4 linked regions of the Diceros bicornis minor genome follow. The protein of the gene in region 4 binds, or shares a complex with, the protein of the main gene of each other region. Links are inferred from orthologs where the notes say so. Each region holds a gene or a part of one and is shown on either strand. Other genes may lie near its edges.

Region 1 (7,470 bases), on a different chromosome or scaffold from region 4:
ATCTGCCATCTCGGTATAAAATTAAAGGTAACCTTGGACAGTTAAGAATACCCTGGTGTTAGCAGGCATATCTTAGCTTGTTTTAACTATTTTAAGTCCTTCCTCTTCTTTGTCCTGATGTTTTTATCTTTCTCTTGGATTTGAAATCCTGAAACTAATGATACATTTTTAACTGGTTTACCTTAAAACTATAAATGTGAAAAGGTTAAATCTTATTTAGCAAACATTTTAAGGATGAAAAATAGAGAAACAAAGAGCAACCAAAAGGATAGTGACTTGTCTAATTTTAGAATGTGGTCACTCAAACTACTGAGTACTTGTGGCTCATAGTAATTTAGTGGTTTAGTATTTATGACATTAATATGCTGTTTTCACGTCTAAGCTATAGTTTTACCTTTTTTTCACTACTATGTTATATTCTAAAACAACTTAAATTGCTTTAATTTCCAGTGTAACTGAAGGATTAGAAGCATTTGAACATCTAGGACAGTTTAGACACTAATCAGGTCAACATATAACCAGCCATAAAAACTATAACACTGTCTTCTTTAAAAATAAAACCAGTTGTTCCTGTCTAGTACCTTTAGAATGCAAATGTCTCCAAAGTCAGTCAACTTAAGTCATGACAGTTCATGTTTAAAGTAAGCAGGAAAATAACTTGGAACTCATTAATTACAGCTTTAAAGACAGAATTATACAGCTCTATCAGTTTTTTCAGTATCCAGTATTCATTTCCACGTTACATTCCAGTGACTAGATTTAGAGGAAATATTATAAGTCAAAGTTTGTATAAAATTAAAAATTGGATGTTAAAAAACATGGTCCAACATAACATACTTATGAACAGATACTTATTCAAGATAGTTTTTGCCATAATTTGCAAGGCACCAGAAGCCTTGAGGATGGGGTTTTATATAAATAGAAGCTACTTGTTATTCAGAGGAGGTGGTGCAAAAAAAGACAGCTATTTTCTTTCTAAACACTCATTGGTGTTGAGGTAAACAAACAGGGAAAAAAAAAAATACAGCCTAAGCACACTAGAGCAGAGCAACAGTCTCTAAGTCATAAACGGGAGAGAGAAAAAAAGGCCTCTGCTCTAACATTTTAAACAGGGGACCGGGTGTTTAAACTGAAATTTATTCTCTGGCTTTTAGACCAGATTCATGACTTCTACATTTTATCTGTTATGTCTTGACTCCCACTTTACCATATTAGGAAGAAGAAACTATGTGCCCCCAAGATTCTTATACCAATAAAACTTTTGGAGGCAACGTAGCTCACCAAATGAAGGAGAACATTAGAAAAACACTAAGTGACAATAGCAAGAACCAAACTATCTCAACAACTGAGTGATAAATACTGGTGTTACTAATGTAAGGAGCATGAAAAACATTGCAAACTCTAAGCAACTACTAAAGTGTTACAAAAATTCCAAATCTCCTAAGAGTTAAAAAAAAAAAAGAAAAGAAAAGAAAAGAAAGAAACGAAAGCATTGTGAAGGAGGGGCCCTGAGAAGGAAGTCCAGCTTGAAAGGAACACATAGGTCAAGAAGGGGAAGGAGGAGCACTTCTACTGACCGTCCCTCTACCAGGACATGCTTCTAACAGCTTCAGTACTATCCCCAAGAGGCAATTTTAGGCATCCTTAGGGAGCGATTTAGGCAACAGGCAAATGTGCTTTCAGACACAAGAACTATACAGATGATGCTGAAATTTCTAACCTGGAAAACATGCACTAGCGAGAGAAAACAGCCACGAAATCCCAGACCGTAATTCCCAAGCTTCCTGTTGAAAAATAGCGGTTCTCAGACATATAAGCCACCACATTTGAAACTGACCCAGCAAAGTTTTCAGCTGGCCCTCACTATCTCTCAAATCCTCCTTCCTCCACTTCCCTGCTGTTCTTTCCTGGCACACAAAATATAGGCCAACGAGCAGTGGGTGGGTGAGGAGGATGTGAGAGAAAATTTGAGAAGTAAAAAACGGAGCAACTTAACAAGCACATGAATGAGACTGAAGGGTCTAATAAGGGCAGACAAACAACGAGAACAACTGAAAAACGCACTGGGTTTCCTGGGCAGCAGTGAAAGCTCAGTGTTTGTAGGGTTTAAGCAGAGGCCAGACTACCTACCACTTGTCAGAGAGGCTGCAGAGGGGACGGCTGCTTTGGGTGACCTCTAATGTCTCTTCCGACTCTGAAATGTTAGGATTCTTATTTCACACAAGAGAACGCAACGGTCATAGAAGCCCACCGACTTAGAACCCTGTTAAATAAGCGGCCCAGGCGGCTGCTTCCTAAACACCACTCCCACCTCTCCCTCCCACATCTGCCCACCCCGCCCCCTTTCAAGATTTCCACCTCCACGTGCAAAATGCCTCGCAGCACTCGCCCCAAAGCGGACAGGCGCCTTCCCCTGCAAAGCACCAAAACTATGACCCCCTGGGGGAAGTGAGAACACTCTCCCACCCTGGGTGGCAAAAAAGGAAAAGTCTCAAATCCAGCCTTTCCCCCCCGAGCCAGAGCTGAAGGGGTAGGGGAGGCGGGACGCAGAGAAAAACTTTCTTCTAAAATTTTTCTTCCAGAGAGTGGAGGGGGTTAGAGAGAACCCCGACGAGTCCGGGGCTGAAAGGGTGGGGGGAGGGGAACCCCTGAATCGTTTAACGGCCGGTAGGGGGAGGGGGGCTCCGGAGATGGAGGGGGCGTGAGATGGAGAAGCAGGCCTGGGAGCGGGGTCAGGGAGCTGCAGGGGTTCCTGGGGGTCGGGAGCTGCAGGCGTCCCCCCCACCTGGCACACAAAGCGGCTGCCGCGCTCGGCTCTCACCAGATCCTTTGTGTTTTCCATCAGGGCCTCATGGGTAGGGGTTGTCCGTGCTCCCCGGGCCAGCGGCGCCCCCTCCCCGAGCTGGGGGCAGGCGCCTCTCCCCGGGACTACGGCGACTACAGGGGGCCCCCGGTTGGGCCCAGACCGGTGGCGGCTGCGGCAGCCCCCGGATTTCCCCCCTTTAACTCGGGTGGCCCCAGGATATCAACAACATTAGCATAGCCCTCCCTCCCCAGCGCGCCTGCGCCGTGACCCGCGCCCCGATTGGCCCACTTCCCTACATACCCTCCTCTCTCTCTTCCAGCGTGGGACCCTCTGCAGGCTCCGTACTCCAAGGGCCGTACCAAGACGAAGGGGGGGGAAAGGCAATTGGGGCTCGTGTTAAGTCGACTGGTTAACAAGTCAGGAGGAGGAGCAGAAGTTTCGCGCGATCATCTCAGTTTATACTCTGGCTTGCTTGTGCTCCTTTCAATCAGCTGCAGCTGCGACGATGTGTTGGAAAAAATTTTCCACTCCGCTCACGCCGCTTCCCCCTCCACCCGGAAGATTGGTCCTCCCGGAGGAACTCCCATACGGGGAGGGGCACGTGAGGAGAGTGGGCGTTACGTAGGGAAGAGAGTGCTGGTCACGTGGTAGCAGGCTGCGCAGGCTCCTTCCGGCCCCCCGGGGCCTCAGCCGCCGCGGACAGGGAGGCGCCTCGGCGCACGCGCAGTGAGGTTCCACGTGAGCTCCTGCGTTTCTTCTCAAACCCAACGATGCCGCCGGAACGGAGGAGCCGAACGAGACTGGACCGAAGAACCGGAGCGAGGCCGGACCGGAAGACCCGAATGAGGCCGGACCGCAGAACCGGAGCGGGGCCAGGCGGGCCTCCCCGAAAGGCTGCTCCTTCATCCCAGCGGAAACCGCCGGCTCGGCCGAGCGCAGCGGCCGCTGCGATGGCAGTCGCGGCGGCGGAGGAGGAGAGACGGCTCCGGCAGCGGAACCGCCTGACGCTGGAGGAGGACAAGCCGGCCGTGGAGCGGTGCCTGGAGGAGCTGGTCTTCGGCGACGTCGAGGACGACGAGGACGCGCTGCTGCGGCGTCTGCGAGGCCCGCGGGTGAGGGAGGCCGCGGCGCGCGGGCTGGGCGCGCTCGGGCGGGGCGCGCGGTGGGCGGCGAGCCTCCGGGGGCGGAGTCTGGGCGACCTGCGGCGCCGGGGAGCCTCAGGTGGGAGGGAGCCCGAGAACGCGGGCGCCGGGGATGCCAGAGTGAGTCTCCGGAGGGCGGGGACCGCGCCTTTCTCCGCCCCCGGGTGAGCCGCCGCGCCTGGTATGCAGCAGGCGCTCAACACGTCTTTGTTTCGCGAACTGTGGTCGTGAGCATCTTTCGCGTTCAGCTCCCCCATCCTTACTCCGAAGGGTTTCTTCCCTCGTGGTTGTTCGATCACCTGCATCAATATCTTGCCGTGATTCGGGAGTTCCGCTTCATTTGTAGAATCGGAATTTGCGGGCGCGGGCCTGGGAATCTGCGTTTTAACCATCTCCCCAAGTCTCGCCAGCTTTTGAGAATGACCGTGTGCTTATTTGTCTATTCAACGAATATTTGTGAGCCCGCTGGGTGCCAGATACTTTTTTTGGCGATGAAAATCCTGCGTAATTGATTATAATTTTTCTACTCTTTCTATCACCCCTTGTATCTATACGTGGCTTTTCTTCCAAGGTAGGGAGTCCCAGGCATTGTTCTAGGCACTGGAGGAGACACAGTAATAGACCAAAATCCCTGCTTATGTACTAGTTGCAAAGGCAGAAGATAAAGGAGATAAGTAAAAATCATTATGTCAGTGGCAAGTGCTTAAGACAGAAAGAAAGCATTGGGGAAAGGGAGCTAAGTGTGTGTTGAGGAGGCTTGTGAAATTTCATGTAGGGTGGTCAGGCAAAGCCTCGCTGAGAATGACTCAGTTTGGTAAATGAAGGCGGACCTAGCAAGTATCAACTGATTGCCAGAACCTCCTTTGGTGCTTATGGGAGAAGCTGCAGAAATCTAGTTGGGAGATAGAGAAGAACTACTGGACTGTGTGACAGTTTCCTAGTCAGGAAAACGGTCTATGAGAGGTGGAATTTGTTGGGTTTTGAAGGATCGTAGGTCTTTAATAGAGTAGGTAGAAATCATCGTGTGGTTTTGGGAAAGATCAAGCATGTTTCAGGGGATGTTCTGTGGTCTGGATTTAGATTTGATTGTACAGTATAAAGTTTCTTAAGGAGGTAGGGGGTCAAGAACTTAAGAAAAATGGAGATGTGTGTCTAAGAATATGAAATCCTAATTAATTATGACATTCAATCATGTTATTTTGTCTTGGATGCTAGTTTGCCTCTGGTCCCGTAATTTCTGCAGTTGTGGATTTTTTCCTGCTCCTTCATCTGTCTGCTTACCTTTTGTTGTTTTTGTCTTACTTGGTGTTTTCCTTTGAGCATGTTGACATTCTCTCCCTGACTGTTCCCTCTTACCTCGCCTGTCCAGCGTGTGGTGACATTCTCTAGTCTCCTCATTTTGTCTTCTGCCTCCAGCATTTGCTGTGGTGGCATTCTGTCCCATTATTTCATGAGAGGGCTGTAAAAAACAGAGCATTCTGTAAGCTATCTTAACTACAAAATGTGTCTGTCTGCCACCACAGGATATGAAAAACAGTGCTTGAGGGGGTTTTGTCTTCTCTAGGTTGAAGTACAGGAAGACTCAGGTGACTCGGAAGTGGAGAATGAAGCAAAAGATAATTTTCCACCTCAGAAGAAGCCGGTTTGGGTGGATGAAGAAGATGAAGATGAGGAAATGTAAGTTGCATAATTTTTCTTCCAGAATCCCTGTGGGTACTTTAAAAGTTATTTTGCAGGTTTTAAAAAAGTTCTTTTTAAGAATATGCGATTATGTGAAGATTTGAAAAATACTGGAAAGTATGGAAAAGTCATTCATAATCCCACCGCTGAGGTAGAACCACTGATAGCATGTTGGCATACTTCTCTTCCCGTCTTTTCAGTGCGGTATAGAATAGCTAGGACAGCAGTGTTTGCTGTCAGACCTGAGTTTGCCTCCCAATTTGGCCAGTTCCTAACTGACTGTGGGCATGTTTAGAATCTCTGTTTTCTTGTTTGTAAAATAGAGGTAATAATAGTGACTATGTCAGAAGGCTCTTGAGATTAAATGAAATAGTGTATGTAGAGCTCTTTGCACGATGCCTGAAACCGAGAAAAGGCTAAAAAAAAGTTAGCTAGCGCACACAGTATGTACTTTAATAGATGAGAATCTACTGTATTGCAAGCATTTCTCCTGCTTTTAAAAAAAAGCCTCTATCAACATTTTTAAATGAGTGTATTATTGTCCATTGTATGAATTAACCATAATTTATATAGCTGTTGTTGGACAGATGTTCTGATATTTCTCTTTAATAAATTAATGATGAGATAAACATCTTTATGCATAAACCTTTTTCCACTTTTCTAATTATTTCTTTAAGAAAGATTCTTTGAGGTGGAAATACTTAATCAAAGAGCACAGACATTTTTCAGGCTCTTGATAAATACTGCCAGATTGACCATGAGGTTCTACCAGTTGACCTTCCCACTGAAAGGTTTGCCTTTTCACTCCGTTCTTATAAGCAATGATTTATCTTTCTTCAGACTTTGTCGGTTTAAGGGGTGGGAGATAGCTACCTAATTTGTGTTGAGAAAACATTTTTGTTATTAGTCATTGGTATTTATTAAAAGTATTCTCTATTATGTCTTTGATTATTGGAGACTGTTACTTTTTATTTATTTTATTTTTTAAGTAAAATTGTATGTATTTAAGGTGTACAACATGATTTGCTCTACATATACATAGTGAAATTATTATTACAGCAAGCTAATTAACATATCTATCTCCTCACATAGTTACTATTTTTATTTGTGGTTAGAGCACCTGAAATCTACTTTCTTAGCAGATTTCCAGTATACAATATAGTATTAACTATAGTCATGCTGCTGTACATTAGATTTCTAGACTTATTCATCCTACATAACTGCAACTTTGTATCCTTTGACCGACATCTCCCCATTTCCCCCACCTCCCTGCCCCTGGTAACCACCATTCTACTTTCTGCTTCTGTGTAGTCTACTTTTTTTAGATTCCGTATATAAGTGAGGTCATGCAGTATCTTTCTTCTGTGTCTGTCTTATTTCACTTAGCATAATGTCCTCCAGATTCATCCATGTTGTCAAAAATGGCAGGATGAGACTGTTTCTTAATGATTGTCATATATCAGCTCCCTACATATTGAGAATTTCAAACCTTTATCTGTCAAATTTATTGCAGGTTTTCTCCCAGCTTTCTGTTTGCCTTTTAATTTTGTTTTTAATATTTGACATTCAGAATATTTACGTTTTTATATAGTCAAATTTATGAATCTTTTCTTTTTTTTTGCTGTTTTTAACAGTAAAAAATCCTTCATCAGAGAAAGACAAGTGTTTGCCTGTATTTTTCCTTCATAGTATTTTAAGATTTGGTTGTTATGTATTTAACTCTTTATTTTGCTTGGAATTTATTTTGGTGAATGGCATAAGCTGTGTCTAGATAAGTCATTATGAATTTGAAATGTAAGCTGTTCAAAGGGTAAACTAGATGATCTGAAATATTGGAGACTG
Region 2 (7,941 bases), on a different chromosome or scaffold from region 4:
TCTGCAAAACATAATTTAGGCTAATATCATGATTTGATCTAAAAAGTAGATGTCAAATCTCTGAACCCTATTATTGCTTATTCTTGAACTTTAGTAACATATACCTTAGCAAATACAAATAAACAAAAGTCACCCATTATCCTACCATCTAGAAACTGCTACCATTCACACTGAGGTGACACTTTTTCTCTGCATATACCACAATACCATTTCTCTTTAACAAAAAAGGCTACTGTAACTACAGACTTATAATTTGCTTTTATCCTGAACAATATATTGAGAACACTTTTTCTCAGTAGTAAGTGTTCTTTTACATTACTATATGAGTATAACATACTACAGTTTATTTGGTCGTCCTCAAGTTTTAGACATTTAAGTTGTCACCAACTTTTCACTATTATAAATCAATGTTGTGATGAACGTCTTTGTAACTAAATCTTTGTGCACTCCCATGATTCTTTCCTAAGTATTAATTCCTATAAATGGAACTGCTGGGTCAAAGTGTTACACAGTTTTAAGCTTCAATAAAGCAGTCTGCCAACTTGCCCTCTAGAAAGTTTGTATTAATTGTGCCTTAACTTCTAATATTCCACAAGTGACAGTATGAGAAATGTCTAACCTGTCAGTTATCAAATTATCTTTAAAATGCTGTAAAGGGCTCAAAATAATTTCTTCCTGAACTTTAAAATGTAATTTTTGATAGTATAACTACACATGAAGTAGTAGCTTGCTTGTTATGAATACATTAATGGAAATAGCATTAAATAACCATGTTAAATATTTGGAAGATCTGTGTAAAAATTTTTGGCAGGGAGGGGAAGCATTTATCTTTTTTGTTTTTCCAACAATTATCCACATTCACTTAGAAATAGTCTCCACTCTTCTCAACATAAAATTCACTTATTTCAAAAGAAAATACCACATTCAAGTATAAAATAAATAACATTACTGATTATAGCTCCAAGATACCACAGTACAATTTGTATCATTTGGTTCAAAGGTAATGTGAATTGCACATGATGGGGAAAAGATATCATCAACTATGATTAATCTATAGATATCTATATATGATATATATATAAAATCTTGGATGCTTTTCACTGTTGCAATTTAACTAAAAAGATGCTGAAATCTTGTAAATTTTAATATAAATATAAGTCATATATGATTCTTTTAACTTTTGTATATAGTTAATAAGATACAATCAAACCCTCCCACATACTATTCAGAATTACTCCAATAACTCACCCTGTTCTTCTTCAGGTTAGAAAGTTCATCCACAACAATTTTTTGTTCTTTAATCTATTGAAATAAAGAAAAACATCTTAAATCAGAGGTTCTCAAAGTATGCTCAATGAGGGTGCTTTAAAATTAGAGAGATGGGATAGGGGCCATAACGGGCAGTCTGTGACTATGCGGACTCTTGTCAACAGCAGTCTGGGGCGAGGAGGGGGAGACAGAGTTGGAGGAGGAAACAATGAGTAGACTTGCCAAGTGTTAGCCCATTGAGCCCAGCCAGGGAGTTTGGTGTTGGTAACCAGCATCCAGGCAAGGGCGGTAGTTACTAAACAAGGTTTATACCTTTTAGTTACACAATATGCACACAAAGTAATACCAGTTTTTCAATGATTTATGTTTTAGCTTTAAAAAAAGAAAAAAACCCAGCAAATGGAATGAGGGGTGAGTTACTCGCCCCCCCAATACCAATGGTTTTCATGATTTATGTATAAATGGTGCAGCCAGACATTCAGAACAAGCAAGTGGTACTAAATGCCCTACCTGGGGCAGTAAGACCTATCACTTTCCATCTTTGCTTTATTCCTCTTTATATCTCAAAGACTAACACAATGCTGGCACTGTTGAACTAGGCCTCGAAATAGGAGAGGGCTCCACTAAGTGGAAACAAAGTTTTTTTTCTAACTCTTTTCAGTAAAGGTAGTTATTCTGTGAACATGACTGATTACATAGTATCACTATTGCCTCTAAAAGCAGGTTTTATAAAATCTTTGTCCTACCTCAGGAACCTCAGGCATCTGTCATACATCAGTATAAGTGGCTTGCTCTGGTAGTAATCAGAGTGGGCTGTATGAGGTTTGAAAATTCACCCTTGGGGGGGGTTATTAGAGACTTGCCCAAGATGTCACTGTTAGTTTGGGACAGAACCAAAGTAGAATCTAGGACATCTAACACCTGAAAAGCTATAACCATCCCCATCTCCTATATATTTTTTAAAGGTTTTGTCTGTTTATGGCAGTTAAGATATATATTATATTGTCCCCACCTCCTGCCCCCTTTTTGGATGGAGGAGTGACAATCAAATCCGTGTTTTAGGATCATTGCTCTGGCTGATGTGGAGAAGAGAATGGAAGGTAATGATGGACGAAGCGAGACCAGTTAGGAAGCCTTTGCAGGGTAGATGAAGGTGGCTGGTGATAAACGGACATATTTGAAATGAGCTTCAGAAGCAGAACTGACAGGACTTCGCGATGGACGTCAAGGATGGTTCCCGGGTTACTGGCACGGACAACTGGATGGTTGGCGGTGACTTTTCTGAGATAGAGAACATCGGCGGCAGATCTGGGGTGGGCAGTATTTCTAAAAGTTTAAATAAAGAGAAAAAACCCCAACCAAATCTCCGCCTCACTGCCTCCTGGGTCTAATTTCGGTGCAAACTTCAGGGTCTGCCTTAATTGTAGCTGTCGAACGCTAAGAATAACAAGAGAGAAGCAGCTGGGCAAAGCCGAGAGCGGGCCACGCGGCCGCGGCAGACCTCCCCCGGGGCTGAGCGGCGCTCCGTCCCGAGCCTGCGGGCCGCTCGCCTCGTCCCACACTCACCTTGTTGCTAAGATCCTCTTTGTGAGGGGCTGAGTCGTCGGTAGGGACCAGCCCGGCGCCGTCCTCCGGGCGTGTGCCCCGGCTAGGCATCTCCACCGAGGGAACGGTACGCGGGACGCGCAGCGCAGCTGGCGCCCCAGGTGCCTCCCCAGGTGCCTCCAGCCTCCAGCCTCCAGCCCTCAGCCCCCAGCCTCCGCGCGTGCGCGCTCCCAGCGGCTCCACCCCCTCGTTTCCTTCCCTATGAGTCCTACCAATAGCTTCTGCGCACTCACTGGAACGCCTGCGCAGTCCGGGTTTGGCGTGGGAGCAGTTCCGCGCGTGCGCACAGATGCTTAGGGAGCGCGTGAGCAGAGCCTGGTTGTGAAATCGGAGAGGTTCCTGAACTGTCCGCTAGCGGATCGGCTGTGGAAACGGCCTTGTGGTCTCCACTCCCTCGCGTTCTGTAGACTGTGAGTTATATGCGCCCCCCAGTGGTCAATATAAAGAATAGAAGCGCAGTAGAACTAGACAATATTTATTATCTAGGCAAGGATGTGAAGCTAGGCACAGATTTAAGAGACACGTTTTTGGCAACAGAACTGTACAGACTTGGTGAAGTTTTTGTTAACTTGTTATTGGAGTTAAAAGATAAATACAGAATGCCCGGTTAAATATGAATTTCAGATAAATGAATGATTTTTTAGTATAAGTATGTCCCTTGCAATATTTTCAGAATCTCGCTCCAATGAGAAAAATTATCCAAGACTTGGAAATAGGCGAGAGATTACTGGGTGTTCTTTCACAGCTTTTCTGGGCTTGACTTTCTATTGACTGGGGTATTTTAACAATTCTGGAGAGGCAGAGGTAAACGTGCAGATTTTTGTCTGGCAGAGATGCAAATAATTTCTATCTGGTGGGCCAGATAACCCCACAGATTATGAATTATTGTTCTGTAATATATTAAGCAGTTTTGTATCTAACTCTGCAATCCTATCCTAACATTTCTTTATTATATATGCCTAGCTTCTCATAAACTCTCTGAATTGGTTTTAACATCTTACCTGTTCCCTCATTAATTAACGAGCTGAATAAAACTTTGGCCTATGTTCATTTTACATGTGTATGAGAGACGTGGTTTTATATTTTTGAAAATTATACTTTAACATAAGAAATCTTAAGTTTCCATGGAGATGCCCAAGTGAGCTCATGTGATGGAGCCAAACTGTATGGCTAAGGAAGTGTATGTCGTGGGTTGTTTCAGCCCAGGCATTTCTTTTATTGCCTCTTACAGTAAATCCGAAGTGGTTATAGAACTGTTTACTGTATATTTTTAATTTTTACTGATTTTTAGAAATTTTGGTTTTGTTTCTGATTTACGCATGGCTGATAAGTTATTATACATGGGTAGCAGCAGTGATTGGGAATTTGGTTTTATGGTCTAATGATTTGGTGATATCTGTTGGATGATGGAGATCTAGTCTCTATTAGAAAAGACATGACAGTGAATCCAGTTTTTTAGTCTTTTTGTTTGTCCTTTGTGAGCTCAAGTTAATTAAGAATTTCATGCTCACTGGAAAGGAGAACAGGTTTTTGAGATCTGGGCTAGTGAGTTTTTGTGTTTACTTTCAACCTGGGATTGAGGTTGTAAAACTGAAGCTATAAGCTCTCTCTGTGTCTATAATTTAGAATAGCCTTTATATCTTGTTGTGTGAATGTAAAATGTTTTCATACTCCTGGAGGGTATTAATAAATTCCATTGTAATGTCTCTTAAATTAGAGGAACTCTGTTCTGATTGGTCTACAGACACAAATATGCATTTGTGTAAATCTCCCAATTTAAAAAAAGCCCAGAATTTCTTTTTCTTTTTCTTTTTCTTTTTTTTGAGGAAGATCAGCCCTGAGCTAACATCCATGCCAATCCTCCTCTTTTTGCTGAGGAAGACCAGCCCTGAGCTAACATCTATTGCCAATCTTCCTCCTTTGTTTTCCCTTTTTCTCCCCAAAGCCCCAGTAGATAGTTTTATGTCATAGTTGCACGTCCTTCTAGTTGCTGTATGTGGGGCATGGCCTCAGCATGGCCCGACAAGCGGTGCGACAGTGCGCGCCCGGATCCAAACCCAGGCTGCCAGTAGCGGAGCACGTGCACTTAACTGCTAAGCCACGGGGCCGGCCCCCAGAATTTCTAATACTTTGAGTGCTAGACTTATAAGAAAAAAAGTCTTGCTTACAAAAGCTGCTAGCTTAGAAATATTTGAAGAATCCAAATTTATAAAATTAAGGTGAGTCTTTGGAGAAATCAGGCTAGATTAATAATTTTGGTTTAAGAAAGAAAAGGCAATTATATATCTTTTCTATATTTATCAATGTTAAGTAAAATACAGGTACTTTTTAAATAACACTTAGATTTGTTTTCTCATGAAGAGATTAGCTAATCTGAATTTCCTATGCTCTTTATGTTGGTTTACTGATTAAATAAGCTAGCATTACTGCTATGGAATATTTAAGTTTATGAAAAATGTAAATTTGTGTTCACTAAAACGAGTAATTATTCAGACAGACTTTTTAGATCAACAGTAATTATGTTTTATACCATATAAGTTTAAACATAATTCAAAAATATTTAGGTAATTAAAACTCTGAGGTAATATTAAATTGAGTTAATTAATGATTAATCATTAGATAACTAGATAATTTACTTTTAAAAGTTGAATCCTGAAACATTGATTAATAGAAGCATAATTTTAAGTTTATATACTTTTGCTTCTTGTTTTTATTTGCCATAGAATAGCTATCCTTTTGAGCCATGTTAATGGACATGTTCATTTTTCCCACTTTCAGAAGGTTTAAAGGGAATGTGTGTGGCTGTAGACAGTTGTGTTATGTGTACTTATGAGCTTCATTTGCTAAAATGCTTGCATATGACTGTTCTCAATTATCTACCTCCAGTTCTTTCTATGAAATAGAAGTTATTAAATTGGTTAAAAGTTATAACTAATGTGAGTGGCTAAGATCACATTAGGGGCAAGAGTAACAGAGAATGCAAGGTAATGGGATGAGCCTTGTTTGCAAGGAAAAAGATAGTTCTAAAGTAAAGTATCCTTTTGTTCCAGAATATGAAAGAGCACAGTAAAAGATGAAACTTGAGGAAGTATAGCAAGTTGGAGAAGGTTTGATGAAAGCGGATTTTATTTGCCTTGATTTGTAATACCTGATCCTGAAAAGAAACTATGAAATATGTTAAAACTTTGGCAAAACGCAGTTTTGAAGCTTTAGTCACAAGATAATTATTTTTTTTAAACTTTACTTCCAAATATTATATTAATTAAAAACTAAAATTTGGCATTCTTTTAACCCATCTTCTGGCTCCATTCACCAACACCTTTAGAGTTCACCACAGTTGAGCTGGTGGGAACCTATGAACACACCTCCCCTGACACATGGGATGTCATTTTATTAGTGCTTGGAGGTAAAGGTGAGGCTTATCTGTAAAGCTGAAGAGACTGAGCTTCAAATTAGTCTCTAATATGTATGGCATATTAGTCTTCTTTGTACCCCACCTTCTATGGCAGTGGCTGGCAGAGTGGGAGCTCTGGGTAATGTTCGAATTGACTCTTTGACCCACAATCATTTCCATTTTCAGTGGCCGGAAACACTGCTGATGGGTCTACAGCTGTTCACCTTGTTCTGGGGGTGAGTTGTTGCTTATGGCTCTGCCTGGTTCTAATGTTTTTGTTTATTTACAGGGGCCACCCAAGATGACATAATACTAAACCAAGTGGTGATGGTCATATTAGTATGGTGCTAAACTGTTTTCAAAGTTCTTTGACATTTTATCTTATTTTTTCATGTTTATCCAATTGCTTCTCTTTTCCCCTTCAGCTGCTGTAATTCCTGCGTTGGTTGAAGTCACGCTTTAGGGATACCTGGTATCGTTTGTCTTTTCTGGTTCGGGACTGCCCATCTGCAGCCCACTGTACAACTAACTAGGCTGTTTCCTTCTTTCATTTAAGTCCATTGTTGTCATGTATCCTACTTAATAGGATAATTTTGTGTTTATCAATGCTATTTATGCTCTTCCTCTGATGCTACATTCTTAGTATATTTCATTGTGTTTAACAATACATAGTTCACTGTTGAACATTTTATGGAAGTGATGTGTATTATTAACCTGGATTCCAAGGTTGAATGAATAGTTTCCTCAACCACTGTGTTTTTCCTTGCCTTCTCAGTATACTCTAACAGATTTATTTCTAGCCACAGAAGTCTCCTTCCTGTCTCTCCCAATGAGGTGTGAAATAGTGCTGTGGTTCCCAAGTATCAGTTAGTCTGTGGGTGCCCTTCTCAGTATATCAGAGCCCCTGAAAATCTTGTTCAGATGCCTATAGATTTCTCAGTCTTTTCCCCAGATTTACTGAATCAAATCTTTGGGAATGGGATGCAACTGTCTGCTGCATAACATAGTTATGCATTTAACCTATAACCAAAATGACTGGGCTTGAATTTTGGCTTCTACATTTATTACAAGTGTGACTTTGGTATCTCATTAGCCTCTCAAGCCCCAGTTTCCTAATCTGTAAAATGGGAGTAATAATAGTGCCTACCTCAAAGGGTTGTTATGGGGATTAAATGAGTTAATATTTGTAGAGTGGTTCTAACAGCTTTAGGCACATAGTAAACACAATCTGTGTGTGTTTAATAGATAAATCAGAAGCTCTGCCAGACAAATTTGACACAAGTAAGTTTCATGAACCAATGCAGTGGACAGAACCAGGCTGTGAAATGCTTGGCCCATTTCTTATTGAAGATATGTCCTCTCTTCTAGTGCTTTCAACAGGACTAGGGCTGGAGGCACTTTTGGTTGTCACAATAATTGGATGGTTCTGTTATTTCTGATGGGGTAGGACTAACTGGAGCCAATTGAAAGGAGACAGACTGAGCGACAGACTCTTTTAAGAATCCTAGATGAGCAGGTCAAAGGGTGGTCTCAGCAAGCAGACAGAACTGGAAATTGCATGGGGTGGGAGTTGGGATGGGCTCTAGGACCAAATAACCAGAAAGTAAAATCAAAGAGGTATTATTGTAATCTATGTAGGTGATTTGCATCATGAATTCTGTCAGAGGTGACAG
Region 3 (7,043 bases), on a different chromosome or scaffold from region 4:
ATCATTTTATTATCTCTCACGGTTTCTGTGGGACAGGAATTGGGGAAGAGCTCAGCTGGGTGGTTCTGGCTCAGGATTTCCTATGTGGTTGCAATCAGACAGTGGCTGGAGCTGGAAAAGTTGGGGGCTGGAGAAGCCGGGGGCTGGGTGGGTACCTCTCACTCTCTTCATCTAGGCTTGAGGCTTCTCCACATGATTTTTCCTATAGGTTAGTTTGGGCTTCCTCAGAGGGTAGGTATTTGGAGAGGGCCAGTGTCATATGTTGGGTTCCCCAGGAAGTAGACTCTGAGATGAAAACAGCAGTCAGGACATATATTGGGGAATGATATTGGGAGCAATATCTGTGGAAGGGTGGAGAAGGAAGCAGGATTAAGCAGTGGGAGAAATTGAATGGCAATGTAGTCCTAACAAAGGCCTCAGCCAACCCGCGGCGGGTGCTCTGGAGCTGGGATCAATGACCCTTCAGAGTTTGTCTAAGTTGGGCAAAAGGGCTGGCTGGGCCTTTATATCTCTGCGGTGATCACTCATTGGATGTGGGCTGCCCCTAGAAGAGGGTATATATAACCCTGGGCAAGGCAATTTTCTTCAGCCGAGGTAATCCCCTTCAAGGCAATCCCCTACAGCTGAAGGTCATCTTCCAGCAGTACTCCCAGTACTAGGGGGAATAAGTCCTTCATTCCTGAAGAAATTTCTGGGAGATGCATCACAGTGTTCACCACAGCCCTGACAGGATCTGTGGCTTTCAGTAGAGGGACTGGGTCCTTTTGTAACCACCTGGCACTGAGGAAGTTGGGGAATAAATGCTCCCACCTCACCATCCTCCAGACTTCCGATCTCCTGCCAATGCCTCTCCCCCATGTACCAAACCCAGCAAGTCATAGGACTCTGGGTTTTGAGTCACAGAGCAGGGTGGATGGAGAAGGGTGAAGAGTGGATCTGGAGGGGCAACAGAAGATGTTCAGCAGCACAAGATGAGTTTAGTTTTTGAACGTTAAGGACATGTTGAGGGGCCGGCCGGTGGCTTAGTGGTTAAGTGCCCGCGCTCCGCTACTGGCGGCCGGGTTTGGATCCCAGGCGTGCACCCACGCACTGCTTGTCTGGCCATGCTGAGGCGGCCTCCCACATACAGCAACTAGAAGGATGTGCAACTATGACATACAACTATCTACTGGGCCCTTGGGGAGAAAAAGGTAAAAAAAGGAGGAGGATTGGCAATAGATGTTAGCTCAGGGCCAGTCTTCCTCAGCAAAAAGAGGAGGATTAGCATGGATGTTAGCTCAGGGCTGATCTTCCTCACACACACACAAAAAAAGGACCTGTTGAGTTAAATAATATCCTGATGCATGCTTCTTTTTGGTGGATTAAAGCAGTGTTCTGAACCACCCTCTCATTCATTCCACTCCTTGCTCCTTTGCTTTCATCCACCTCCTAATTACTTAACCTCACTCTTCATTCTACCATTTAAACCCTGCCTCATTACTTCAGCTTCAAACATGTTCTAAGTTCATGAGTTGGGCTTTTCTCCTGACTATATTTCATTTTTTCAGCCTTCATTTAGCTCCATACACCCATCTACAAGCCTGGTAATGTTCTTCATCCAGCCTCTTCTCAGGCACCTTTCTTTCTGTGCACCAACCCTATGGGGAAATCTTTCCTCCCCCAGCATTTTATTTATCCTGGTTTCTTGATTAAGACTGGAAAGAGGTAAGTTTCAAGGTACTGAGATAATACAGATGAGAGATGATATGAGGGTGGGGACAATGGTTATGGGGAGAAGGCCCATTTTGGTGGATCCCTGTCTAAGCTTACTATGGTGTACTTTCTTTTTTTTTCTTTTTTTAAAGATTTTATTTATTTTTTACCCCCAAAGCCCCAGTAGATAGTTGTATGTCATAGCTGCACATCCTTCTAACTGCTGTATGTGGGACGTGGCCCCAGCATGGCAGGAGAAGCGGTGTGTCAGTGCGCGCCCGGGATCCGAACCCGGGCCACCAGCAGTGGATCGCGCACTTAACCGCTAAGCCATGGGGCCGGCCCTATGGTGTACTTTCTGAAGCTACTATCCAACGGTAAAATGAATTCATGGCCTTTTCTCACCTTCATTCTTTCCAGCATACTCTCCCATTCTGTCTAATGTGTTCCAATACAAAAGCCCTACTATTTAATCCCAATAATCATCTCTTCTTTGAAGCTCTTTGGCTTCCCTACATTTTTTCCGAATTTACCTCCTTCTTTTCTACCTGCTCCTCAGTTTCTTTGATTACTTTGGTAGAGAATCCCTCTCTCCTCTCTTTCCCCTCAACCATATTTTGATCTCTTCTGCCTGATAGTCTTCTTATTATACATATTCTCTGTGGACATCTTATTTTTTTCTCATGGCCTTAACTATCACTTGTATGTGCCTGACTCCTAAATCTGAATCCCCTTCCTTGAACTTTCTCTGGGATTCCATTCCAGATTCCAGACCCTGCAGTGGCTGGTGGGATCAGAACACAGGACTTCTTCCCAAGCTGGAACTAAAATGTGCTTTCAGGTTTCTTTTTAGCCAGTTTTTTCCTTCCTTTGTTTTTTAACTCTTCCTTGAACCGTTCCTCAATCCATTTTGGTTCAGTTTTCATATCATCCTGGGTTTCTTTAGTCTGTATTAAAGCAAATAAACAACAAACAAACTTAACTAACTCCAAATTGCCCTCCAGAGATTTAATTTTATACCAAAATCTCTCTCTTTGTTTTCATCTTCACAAACTTTCCTCTTTGAGAATTCAAAGGAAACACTTGGCAAGGGGAAGACAATCACTATTTTGTTTTCTTTTAAAGTATTTAACATGCTAAATACCAAAGATTTACATTTTAAATGTAAGCCTATTTGAGGAGCTGTGTGTCTCTGTAGCGGGGTAGGAGGGGGTGGTGCTGGAGTGGTGAGGAGTCTGTTCCGGAAACCCTAAGGTCTCTAACCTGAGAAACTGGAAAAATATCAAATAAACACTCAGCTCTGAGAGGGGCTGGACTAATTCACCCACTTCCTTCCCCAAATCATTTGGAATTTCTTTGGGTATTTATCCTGAGAATGGGATAAGGGAATGAAAAGGACAGAATTTAAGCAAGAACTAAGAAAAGTTAGACTTTCAAGACATAACTTAAAAAATTATTCTTATCCCGCTCTTTTCTCTCTCACATTGACAGACTTTTAAAAGCACGTTTTACCTACAGATTTCCATGGAAACCACCAAAGGGAAATTAGAAAGGAGAGGCATTGCAGTACCATTTCTGTGCGAATTGATGTTTGATTTTCATTAGGCTAGCACTGTTTTTCCTCCAAGGTTTTAGTGTTTATTAAAGCAACAATTATCTCAGTAACAATTCCTCCAGGGTAGTTTTATTTAAAGGTGCCTAACCTATATACTTCACCCAACTGCTTTCAAAATCGTTCAGTCCTTCATGACGGAAGTTAACACACATCTTTATACCAGCTTGGTTCTGCACCAGCAGCCTGTCCCCGGCAGGGCAGAGCCACGAAGGCATGCTTTTTGTGTGATGTGCACGTTGCTGTGCACCTTGGCTGCAAAGCAGGAGCTGTGCTTTAAAATGGCTAAGAGCCAGTACATGCCCTGTGCTGAATTATCAGTCACGCAACCTGGCCACGCAAGAAGGATGCTTTCTCCCTCCCGTTAACACTAAAACGAGAAAAAAACCCAACCAACAAATCCAACAGGCATCAAAACCTTCCCTGCGCCTAGGGAAAGCGCGCCAACCACACAAAGAAAAGAGGGGGGCTACTGGGATTCAAAATCATTTCCCCGGGACGAACACCCTCCTGGACCTATCGGAGTTAACTGCGCGCTTGGTCGTAGCCAATAGACACAGTGTTTCTGGTTCAGGTCCGCCCTGAGGACGGATAGACTTTTATGCAGTCCAATGGAAGAGTGTGATGCTGGAGCATTAACCAATACATTCGGGAGGTGGGTGGAGTGTAGGCCAGGGGGTTGGCGGTGCCGTGTCATGGAGGCTCAGTCTCTGAGCAGCCATTGAAGGGGAAGGAACTGCGGTGTGTGTGTGTGTGTGTGTGTGTGTGTGTGTATGCGCGCGCGCGTGTGAGTGCGCGCGCGAGTGTGTGGACAAGGAGGTGGGGGCAGCTGAGTTAAGAGTCCCAACTCCTTGGACTCCATTTGATATTCTCTTTTTTCTCCCCCACACCTATCTGGTGGTGGTGGGCGTTTATATTTGCGTTTCTTTTCATTCATTTCCAAATCTTTTAAAATTTTAGGGTTGGGGGTAGTGGGAAAGGCAGGAAAGGGTAAAGGAGGAGAGTAGTAGCAGAAGAGCAGGAGGAGGACATGGAGATGAAGAAGAGGATTAACCTGGAGTTAAGGAACCGAGCCCCGGAGGAGGTGAGATGACTCAGCCCCCTCCCCTTCTCCACTAGCCCCGTATTGGGAGGATCGGGTTTCTGGGGGTCCCGGTGGGTGTGTGGGGAGGGGTAATGAATTAAGACTCACTTGGGGTTAGGGTTGGGGGGAAATATTTAATTTCAAGTTTTAAATCATTAAAATCTTTTACTTAAAATGGCGAAGGGTTTAAGTTTCTAGGGGCGTTTTGTGTGTGCATGGGGGCTTAGCCCTTTTCGCCTCTCTTCGAGTCAGGCGTCCTGGCCTCGTGGGGGCGGGAAGCGGGGTGTTGGGGCCCGCTCCGCCGCTGCGCCCCCCATGTTCCTCCTCCTGGGGGCCGGCGGCGTGGGCGCGACCCCCCAGTCCCGCTTGCCCCTGCCGCAGCCATCGTTGCCTGAGAAGTTAGTCCAACTTTTCTGCAGTGCTGCCAACTCTTTTATTTAGGCGGGGGGGTGCCCCCGGCCTCGAGGCCCTTGGGCGTCCGACGACGTCGCGCCCGGCGCGGGCTGGGGTCGCTCGCGGAGTCCGCGGACCGCCCGCTGCCGGCTGCGCCCACTCCCCCGGGAAGCGGCGCGCGCCGACCGCCGCCAGGCGGAATCTGGGTCAGCGGCCGGTTCTCCGGCCGTGGGGAAGTTTTGGGACTCGTCGCAGTGACCAGAGGTGGGGAGGGGACGCGAGGCGCAATCCCCTTCGTCCCCCGCGGTATAATGAAATTCGGCGTGTCGTGTCGTGGTGGCTGCAACTCCGAATTTGGTCCCGGGAGACGGTTTCACAAAACTCAACAAATGGGTCGTAGTAGTTCTGCGCTTTAAAGATGGGTTCGGCGAAACGAAATGATGCGCTCTCGCTGCTGTCGCCTTAGTTAAAGAGACGGGGTTGGGAGGGGCCACGTGAGGCGGGGTCGCGGTCAACTTTTCAGGGGTCGGGCAGAAGGCGTTTCCGCCTCCTTTTCGAGGGCGCCTCCTCAGCTTCCCCCAGCCATCCCCGCCCCGGGTGGGGGCGCTAAGGGAACACGGGCTGGGAGGCGACCCCTTTTTCCCTGGGGAGTCTCCGCCCCGCGTGGGGTTTCCCGTTGGTCGGAGCGTAAGGTCGAGAGAGCGGGGCCCACGGCCAGCAAGGAACCTTGCACTTCTGGAAGCAGAGGAAAGCGTCAAGAGTCTTACTAATTAATTGCGGCCTCTGAAATAAACCTTAGAATTGGAATGACAGAGATATAAGTTTTTTTCAACAAGGGTGGAGGTGGTGCCTGTGCATACCAGCATTGGGGACGAGTGGGGTCTGTCCGGTGGGCTGCGGCGGCGTGCAAACTGGGAACCCAAGATCTTTATGTACTTTTCAAAAAAAGTCTGTTTTCCTGAAATTGGCAGGGGGCAGGGAGGAGGAAACAGCCGCTGCTGTCATCCCAGAGAGAACTTGAAGTTTTCTACGGCCTTCTCTTTAGGGGCTTCAGGAAAAAAACAAATCAAACTTAAAAAGCTGCCTCTCAGGAGCACACATTTAGAATGCTTTTTTATGTTTTGGGTTGGAAAAGCGGATTTGTGTCTCCCCCGCCTTCCCCCATTCTTTTACCTACCCTATCCGTAGTAATTTCCTTGCCAGTTTTGGGGAGTGCCGGATGTTGCCTTTTTGCAGCCTCTCCTTCCTCTCCTGTGGTGTAATAACGGTCTCTCATATCTATATAGCTCTTTACAGTTTACAAAGCACTTTTCTTGTTTGTTATTTACTTTTGTCTTTCGGACAGACTTGTGAGGTGGATTGTATTGTATTGTTCTAGAATCCAAATTAGCAAACGGAGTCTCAGGGCAATGAAGTTATTTAGGAAGAACTGGTTTTCTGACACCAAATCTAGTGGCCCTCTCTCCTCCATTCAGCTCAAGTAGGAGTCAGAAGACTTGGAGTGGAGGCACGGCTGTGCCACATAATAAGTATGCGGTCCTAGGCAAGTCATCCTTACCCTCTGGGCCTTTGCTGCCTCATCTCTAAACAGGAGAGCATGATGCCTTCTCTGCTTACTGAAATAATTATGTCCAAGTCATATTCAAATAGAGAAGGTGGCATCCCTTGATGCTAATTTTTAGCCCTCAGAATACCTCAAAAATATTTTTGCATTGGGAAAGGAGAGCCAGAGTCTCCTGTCTCCTCCTTAAGATTAAGTCCATTTAGGCCCACGCCAGAAACTTTGGTTCTACAACTCTGACCTAACAGAGGATCCATCTCCCCCTTCCCAAGAATGGGGAGAAGTCACCAAAATGCTACCAGAGTGGCAGGGAGAAATAACATTTTGTCAAGGATGTATTGTTCTGGGTGATATTGTTTGGCCTCAATATTAGAACAAATAACATTCGAAAGCTGGACTGTCTCAGAAGGAGCTTTCTAACATTTCTTCCTGAAGGATAACAAGGTATTTTTGAGTTATGGTGGCATTTATCAACCAAAGATAAGGGCGTTTAAATTGAAAAAGTGAATAAAACAATTTCCTTTCGTCTCCCTGCTGTTTTGGGCAGCTCGCTTGAATCCTTTCCCAGTAGCCTGGGTATCCCCTCAGTGCATAAATATATGCCCTGATGTTGAGAATCCTTCTTATCATGGTCAGAAACAAGTTTCACATGGGACCTTTTTCAAAGTTTTATTTTTTATGTGACAGTGATTTGAAGCAGG
Region 4 (7,240 bases):
GTGAACACATCTTATCTCCTCTAACACCATTCCCCAGTGGAGAAGTACCATGGTCCCACACTTAGATAGCCCTTCAAAAAATGTGGGTTCAAGGAATGCATGTGGATGTGCTATATACCATTTCTGACTCAGCTGGAAATGCACAATGCCCTTAATAGAGCCTAGAAGCTATTCTTCAGATGTTGCATTTCTAAAAAGATAAAAGAACCACTATGGTCTTTCCAAAGAACCCTGTGATATCATAATCCTCAGCAGTGGAACTCCGGGAAACTCAAAAGAGGTAGAAGAGACTTCCCAAACCTTGGCTATGTATTCTTTTTGTGTGTATGTGAGGAAGATCAGCCCTGAGCTAACATCCATGCCAATCCTCCTCTTTTTTTGCTGAGGAAGACCGGCCCTGAGCTAACATCTATTGCCAATCCTCTTTTTTATCCCTTTTTCTCCCCAAAGCCCCAGTAGATAGTTGTATGTCATAGCTGCACATCCTTCTAGTTGCTGTATGTGGGACACGGCCTCAGCATGGCGGGACAAGCGGTGCGTCGGTGCGCGCCCAGGATCCGAACCCAAGCGGCCAGTAGCAGAGCGCGCGCACTTAACCGCTAAGCCACGGGGCCAGCCCCGGCTATGTATTCTTATTCACACACTTGCACCTCTTCCATTTAATCTCCCTCAGTTTAGGCTCCTTCTCTCTAGAGAGATATGTTCAGTGAATTCTAAAATTTAAAAATTATGAACTGAAAGGGCCTTTAAAAGATCACCTAGTCTCTCATTTTTCACACGAGGATATTAAGCACCAGGGAGGCTGCTGATGTGACCAAAGTTATACAAGGACCCAGTAGCTGAGGTGGGATGCCTATTAATTCAATAAATAAATACCAAGCCTCGGTAATGAGTCAGGTTCTGAGTATATAATAACATTACCTGGTCTGTATCCTCAGGAAGCTCATATTCATACAGAGGCAGATAGCATCAGTTAAGAGCATGGATTCTGGAGTCAGATAGACTTGGGTTTAAATCCTTACTCCACCAATTACCAGCTGAGTGACCTGTGACCTACCTACCTAACCTCTGTGAACCACAATTTCCTTATCTGAAAACAGAGTTCCTAATATAGTTAGTGGCACAAATGCCAAGGAGTTTATGGGTAAAGTGTACTAACGTCTGCAACTTGCTTTGAAGAGCAGAAGTGGATTGGTGGATGGATAAATGAGCAGCACCATGGAAAAATGGTGGATGGATATAATAAAGCAATTGAGTAAAATGTTAATTGTAGAATTTAGATACACAGGTAATCACCATATAAGTCTTGAAATTTCAACTATTTTGTATGTCTGAAAAGTGTCATAAGAAAGTGGCGAAGGGACGATTATTAGGGTGGAGGTGAAAAGCAAGACAATGGAGATAAAGCTGCTTAGCACAATGCTTGGCACAAAGCAAGCATTCAACCAGTGTTAGCTATTTGCAGTTAACAGGTCCTCAGTAAGTGGAAGATGGATAAAAAGACATTTCAAAGTCACCCTGACTCTGTCAATATTTCCTTTTTGGAAAGATCATGTTCAAAATGGAAAACAGAGGCTTTTCTTTGGCCCTTTGTATTAGCACAATTAGGCTAGGAGGCAATAGTCTTAACCTCATTATTACTTAATAATGGTTCCTGTGGGTGCTAAGCCATGTCAGAGGCAAGGGGCATGGGTCTGACAGTGCTCAGCAAGCTGAGAGGGTGGCTATAACTATCACAGAGAGAGCACTGATTTGGGAGGCAGAAACACACACGGGTACAAAGCCCAGCATTACCATTACTAAAGTGAGTGGCAAGTGGGTATGTGAAGTGACCTCTCCCACCCTCATTTATTTCATCTGCAAAAAAATACAAAAAGCTTGAATAGTTTTGTGATTATAATGTAGGCGAAAAGGGCCAGCCCCATGGCTTAGCTGTTAAGTGCGCGCCTCCGCTGCTGGGGGCCTAGGGTTCGGATCCCGGTGCGCATCGACACACCGCTTCTCCGGCCATGCTCCGGCCATGCTGAGGCGGTGTCCCACATACAGCAACTCAGAAGGAAGTGCAGCTATGACGTACAACTATCTACTGGGGCCTTGGGGGAAAAAATAAAAATAATAATAATAATGTAGGCGAAAGGACCTGGCATCACTGCCACTTAATAAAACTGGATTTATTTGGTATGAGCCAAAAGAATGCTAGGGGTGTGGGTACAGCAGATTGCTCCTCTCTATAACTCCCACTTCCCTCCTTCAGCTCCCAAGCCGTGGGAACCTAAGTAAGCTTTTTCAGGTTGATCACTTCTCTACTTTAAAACCACCACAGCCTCCCAGTGCGTTCACAAAAATCCAAATTCCTTATCACGGCCGACAAAACCCTGCAGGAACTGACCCCCACCAAAGTATAATAATTATTTTGTTTACTGGCTTAACCGTTTACCGCCTGTCTCTCATCACACTAAAATGTAAGCTCCATGAGAGCCGGGACCTCATCCGTCTTCTTCCCCGCTGTATGCCAGCGTCGCGCGGAGATGGCGGCACGGAGTGGGGGGCTCAATCAAGACCCGTCAATGAGGTGAAGCAACCAGTCAACCGCCCCGCGGGACGTCACTTGTTCTCCTGCGCCCGCCCCTCTCCCAGTGCCAATGCGGCGCCCCCCTGCCGTCCCCCGTAGCCCATTTTCACCGCCCTGATAGAAAACCTCGGCGGGGCATCCCCGCGCCCCTCCCTGCGCCCCCGTCAGCGGCCTCTCGCGGCAGGGCCCTGCTCGGCGCCCCAACTCCCTGGCCGGTCCACCACACCTCGCGCGCGTTCTCCTGGCCCACGAGCCCCGAGGCGGCCTGCTTGGCCAGGCCGCTCTCGTCCAGCCCCAGCCCCTTCACGTGGCTGTGGGACGCGATGCGCTGCGTCTTCGTGGTGCTCTTCACCTCCTCAATTTTCATCTTGCCGATGCCGGAAGCCAAAACCAGCGTGGAAAACCTGGAGCTAGGACCCCACGCTCGGCGCCTGGGTTACCATGCGGCCGTTACTAGGGCGGTTTGTCAAGGCCCGCCTTGGTCGGCACGCCATTGGCGGAAGCGGGAACGCCTCAGCTCCCCATTGGCTCACGGCTGCGCCCATCGCGGCTGCCGGTAGGGCTCCGCCCACCCACTTCCGGCTGTGTGACGGAGTTGGCTTTCCCACAGCCGGCGCTTCCTGCTCTGGCGCGTGGCGCGAGAGCGCAGAGCGGTCGCGCCCGCAGGATGATCAGGGGTTGTGGCGCTGCAGCGAAGTGGGCGCCTGGAGTCCGGCTTTTAATCGTGCCATCCTATCCATTTTTGCATTTGAACGTCATATCCTTCTGCGAAGCTCAAGTTATTACCTCCGTTTTGGAGATAGAGAAACTGAGGTTTAGAGCTTAAGCTTTGACTTTTGCTTACTGAGCTGTTGTCTGACTCCAAGCATTTGCAACTCCCTGCGGAGGCCCAGCTCGGCCAACTGCTCTCACCCTGGCTCCGCTCAGCGTCCGCTGCGGAACTTTGCTTCTGCCTCCGCCCTCTCCCTTTATTTAAGTTCGCTGTGAATAACATTTTAGTTTCCAAAACTCTTCAACCCTGTAAGGTAGTATAATTCCTAATATATATAAAGACGCAGGCTAAAAGAGGCCCAATAACCGGCGAAGAAGGTACAGCAAATAATCAGTAGAATTGGAACTCCAGCTGAGGATTTAAGGCTTCACAGCCTGGATAATCCTCATCCCATGCTCCGACCTCAGGTGAGACAATCAGCCTGCAAATGTGTCCCCTCAGGTTCCATAATGATGTTAACGCTGCCTGCACCACAGTGTCCTCTTCCCATCCATCTCGTCATTCAACAAACATGTGTTAGCACCTGCTGTGAGCCACACTACAACGCGCTGGGGATACGGAGATATAATACAAAATCTCCAGCCTTGACAAGCTTAGTCCTTAGTTGGGAAACTTGCAACATGAGATGTGTGGGAGCAGGTACACCCACGTGGTGTACAAGCCCAGAGCAGGGCCACCCTGAACAGCCTGGGGAGCCAGGGAAGGCATCATGAGGTTTGGCCTGGGCCAAACCCTGATGAATGGGTAAGACTTCCTCAGAAGCAGATAGTATGCCACCATTTTACAGATGAGTAAACTGAGGTCTAGAGAAAGGAGGGACTTGCCCAGAGTTTAGGAGAGCTTGCATTAGGGTTGAGACAGACCTAAAGTCGAATCCAGATGCGGTAGTTTCTGACTGTCACGTCTCTTTGTACTTCTCCATTACGACTTTTGAATTTAGGTTTCTAATTATTTCAGGGTTATTGGGTCAATGTCTGTCTCTCCCACTAAACTACAGGCATTATGAGAGTGTAGATCACATGTGTGTTCATCATTTTGTGTGTGTGTGTGTGTGAGGAAGATTGGCCCTGAGCTAACATCTGTTGCCAATCCTCCTCTTTTTGCTGAGGAAGATTAGCCCTGAGCTAACATCTATGCCCATCTTCCTCTATTTTGTATATGGGACGCCGCCACAGATGGCTTGATGAGTGGTGCATATGTCCACACCTGGGATTCAAACCTGCAAACCCCGGGCCACCGAAGCGGAGCGTGGAAACTTAACCACTGTGGCACCGGGCCAGCCCCGTTGTGTTCATCATTTTAATCCCAGTGCCTGACACACAGCCTGGCTCACAATTAAGTCTTCTTATAAATTCAAATAAGATTCTAGACCCCCACATACACACTTGAAGTCATGCAGTTTTGCTGCATGTATTTAACACACTGGGTTTTATGGGACTTGGTAATTGGTTTCTGTCAATGAATAGAATGTTTTGGCATTTTCAGAGCCTGAAAGAGCAGAGGCAAGGCCTTGGAAGGCTGCGGGTGTTACTGGTGGCCTGTGACTCATCAACCTTAGGGATATCACCTCTAGGACCACCCAGAAGGTTGCTTAGCATCTCATTGACCTATTCCTGGTCATTATGCATAGGTGAGGAGCAATTCCTTTCACCATGTGGAAGAGGAAGCCTTTCCCCCAACTAGTAGTCAAAGTGAGCCACTCAATGGGACTGACTTCTTTGTGTATTGTCCAGTTAGGGGAGAAGACCGTTTTTACATTTATTATTTTAAGCCCCAAACTTTGACACAAAGTAAAGAGAAGGATTTCCTTCTAGCCAAATATGGACGTGAGGGGTGAGATAAGGATTTTAGAACTCAGAGGAATCCTTAGGAGCACTTGGTCCAGTGGTTTTCATATCACATTCCCTGGAGTTATAGAATTCTTTCATGGCCAGCATGAGTGAGGAAGGGGAAGGCTAAGAATGCAGGATACCTGTTCAATGCCCCTGCCTCCCCTTCCACCAGAGCTGTTCCATTTTTTGACTGCTAAAGAACAGTTCGAAAATCACTGATCTGGCCTAGCATTCTCCTTTTACAGGTAAGGAAACTGAGGCCCTAAGAGGGGATGGAGTTTGTCCAAGGTCACAAATCGAGCAATTGCCTGACAATGGCCCAGACCCCATATCCAGTGTGCAAAGAAGCTGGACCTGGCTGCAGAGCCAGGCAGTTCCTTTCATTTTAGCAGAAGACTATGTGATGGGCCAACGTCCAAGACACACAAGGTGAATGAAAGGCAGGAGAGGCCACAGTAGTTGATATGGGTTATTTTGCCTACCTGTCATCCTTCTGACTTCTTCTGACTACCATCACTCAAATTTTCTTTAGAAAACCACCCTTCCCCGACTCTGAGTCCAAGTGCTTTGGATGGGTTGACACCACTCCCCAGCTTTGTTTCAGGGATGGACACGGGACCTGCCTGGCCTATCAAATTATCCCATCCTCCTGGACATGGTGATTGGTGTGGGAATGTGAGCGAGCTGTCCAATGACAGTCATGGCACTTTTACTGGAAATACCAGGAAAGAGAACTTGGGTCATGGGTTTCGAGGTCATTTTTGCCACTTCAAGGGAAGACTCTGCCTGAGAATGAAGCCAACACAAAAGAAAGGAAAGCTGACAGAGATTCCTGATGAAATCCTCTATATTCCCAGACCAAGCCTTGCCCTACTTGCAATGTAATATGGCAGTGACATTGGGGCTTAAAATAGTTTGAGTTAGGTTTCTGTCTGTGGGTACTGAAAATCCGTATCAGTGCAATGACACATATACGAGTAATTGTGTGGACTGCTACATTCCAGAATTGTGCTGTGTGACAACCCCAGACCTGTCAGCTCTCATTCTCTCACTCCCATGACCCTTGCTCTTTCACCTCCAGGCCCTCAACCCTTCTTTTCTCCAGTCCAAGCTTGATCATCTCAACCACTTGGTTTCCAACCCTTCTGCTCCCTCCTTGCCTTGACTTCTTTCACACTTGACCTTTCAACCCACAAGCCCAGGTCCAGCCTACCTCTGCCTTCTCCACTGCCTCATGAAGGCTGCTGTGTATGGCAGGAGGCAATTACCCAGTGGTCCCATGGAGCCATTACACTGTCATGGTCTTCAGCCTCAGCTGAGCACTCAGAGCTGCCCAAGTAATGATTAGGATATTAGTTCAGCTACAGTAACCAAGAGATACAAAATAATAGTAAATTAAACAAGATAGAAGTTACTTTTTCTCACAGAAAGGCCAAGCAGGCATTCTACCTGGTGGGCTGGCTCTATAATCATTAAGGACCTGTCCTCCTTCTGTCTTATTAGTCTGCCATTCCACACACATGCCTTCTATTGCATGGTCCAAGATAGCTGGGCAAGCCCCCCGAAAAGGCTGCATTTGAACCAGCAAGAAGGAGAAAAGGGGGAAGGGGAGGACATGCTCCTACCCTTTACCTTGACCTCAAGTTGCACAATTATTTCTACTCATATCCCAATGGTCAGACTTAGTCAGATAGCTACAAATAGCTGCAAGGGAGGCTGGGAAATGTATTCTTTATCTGGACAGATATGTGCCCAGCTAAAAATTCTATTCCTATGTAAAAAAGGGAAGATATTGGGAAACAACTCTTAGTCGCTAAGATTCTATCTGCCAGGCACTGCAGGGTTCTCCTTGTGTCCTAACTCAAAGGCAGACATGACCTTCCTCCTAGCCAAGGTAACCCTACTAACTGGGTTCCAGATAACAATCTGGGCCTCACTCTATCTCTCAGAGGCCTCACTCCACCCATTAGCCTTCTTTTCCTGTATTTCCATCTGTTCTTCTGGATCATTCCCCAGAGGATTTAAGCATAGTCAATCTTAACCATCTTAAAACACACATCATAT

Evidence for each region.
Region 1: RUVBL1 (region 4) and MBTD1 share a complex: the UniProt entries of both Homo sapiens proteins name them as parts of the nuA4 histone acetyltransferase complex. The link is inferred for Diceros bicornis minor from reciprocal best matches to the Homo sapiens genes RUVBL1 and MBTD1.
Region 2: RUVBL1 (region 4) and ASDURF share a complex: the UniProt entries of both Homo sapiens proteins name them as parts of the PAQosome complex. The link is inferred for Diceros bicornis minor from reciprocal best matches to the Homo sapiens genes RUVBL1 and ASDURF.
Region 3: RUVBL1 (region 4) and ANP32E share a complex: the UniProt entries of both Homo sapiens proteins name them as parts of the SWR1-like complex. The link is inferred for Diceros bicornis minor from reciprocal best matches to the Homo sapiens genes RUVBL1 and ANP32E.

Annotation. Positions count from the first base shown.
Region 1 is NC_080757.1:35,216,929-35,224,398, reverse strand, and holds the start of MBTD1 (MBT domain-containing protein 1), read right to left. Parts: upstream 3,015-7,470; 5' UTR 2,843-3,014; coding exon 2,822-2,842; intron 2,195-2,821; exon of another isoform or gene 2,131-2,194; intron 1-2,130. Other genes in the region: UTP18 (U3 small nucleolar RNA-associated protein 18 homolog), read left to right, coding at 3,577-3,918, 5,513-5,625. UniProt on the Homo sapiens protein: Chromatin reader component of the NuA4 histone acetyltransferase complex, a multiprotein complex involved in transcriptional activation of select genes principally by acetylation of nucleosomal histones H4 and H2A.
Region 2 is NC_080749.1:68,663,775-68,671,715, reverse strand, and holds the start of ASDURF (ASNSD1 upstream open reading frame protein), read right to left. Parts: upstream 3,006-7,941; 5' UTR 2,926-3,005; coding exon 2,836-2,925; intron 1,303-2,835; coding exon 1,249-1,302; intron 2-1,248; coding exon 1-1.
Region 3 is NC_080743.1:54,715,680-54,722,722, reverse strand, and holds the start of ANP32E (acidic leucine-rich nuclear phosphoprotein 32 family member E), read left to right. Parts: upstream 1-4,033; 5' UTR 4,034-4,334; coding exon 4,335-4,388; intron 4,389-7,043. UniProt on the Homo sapiens protein: Histone chaperone that specifically mediates the genome-wide removal of histone H2A.Z/H2AZ1 from the nucleosome: removes H2A.Z/H2AZ1 from its normal sites of deposition, especially from enhancer and insulator regions.
Region 4 is NC_080741.1:92,873,020-92,880,259, forward strand, and holds the start of RUVBL1 (ruvB-like 1), read right to left. Parts: upstream 3,017-7,240; 5' UTR 2,940-3,016; coding exon 2,799-2,939; intron 1-2,798. UniProt on the Homo sapiens protein: Possesses single-stranded DNA-stimulated ATPase and ATP-dependent DNA helicase (3' to 5') activity; hexamerization is thought to be critical for ATP hydrolysis and adjacent subunits in the ring-like structure contribute to the ATPase activity.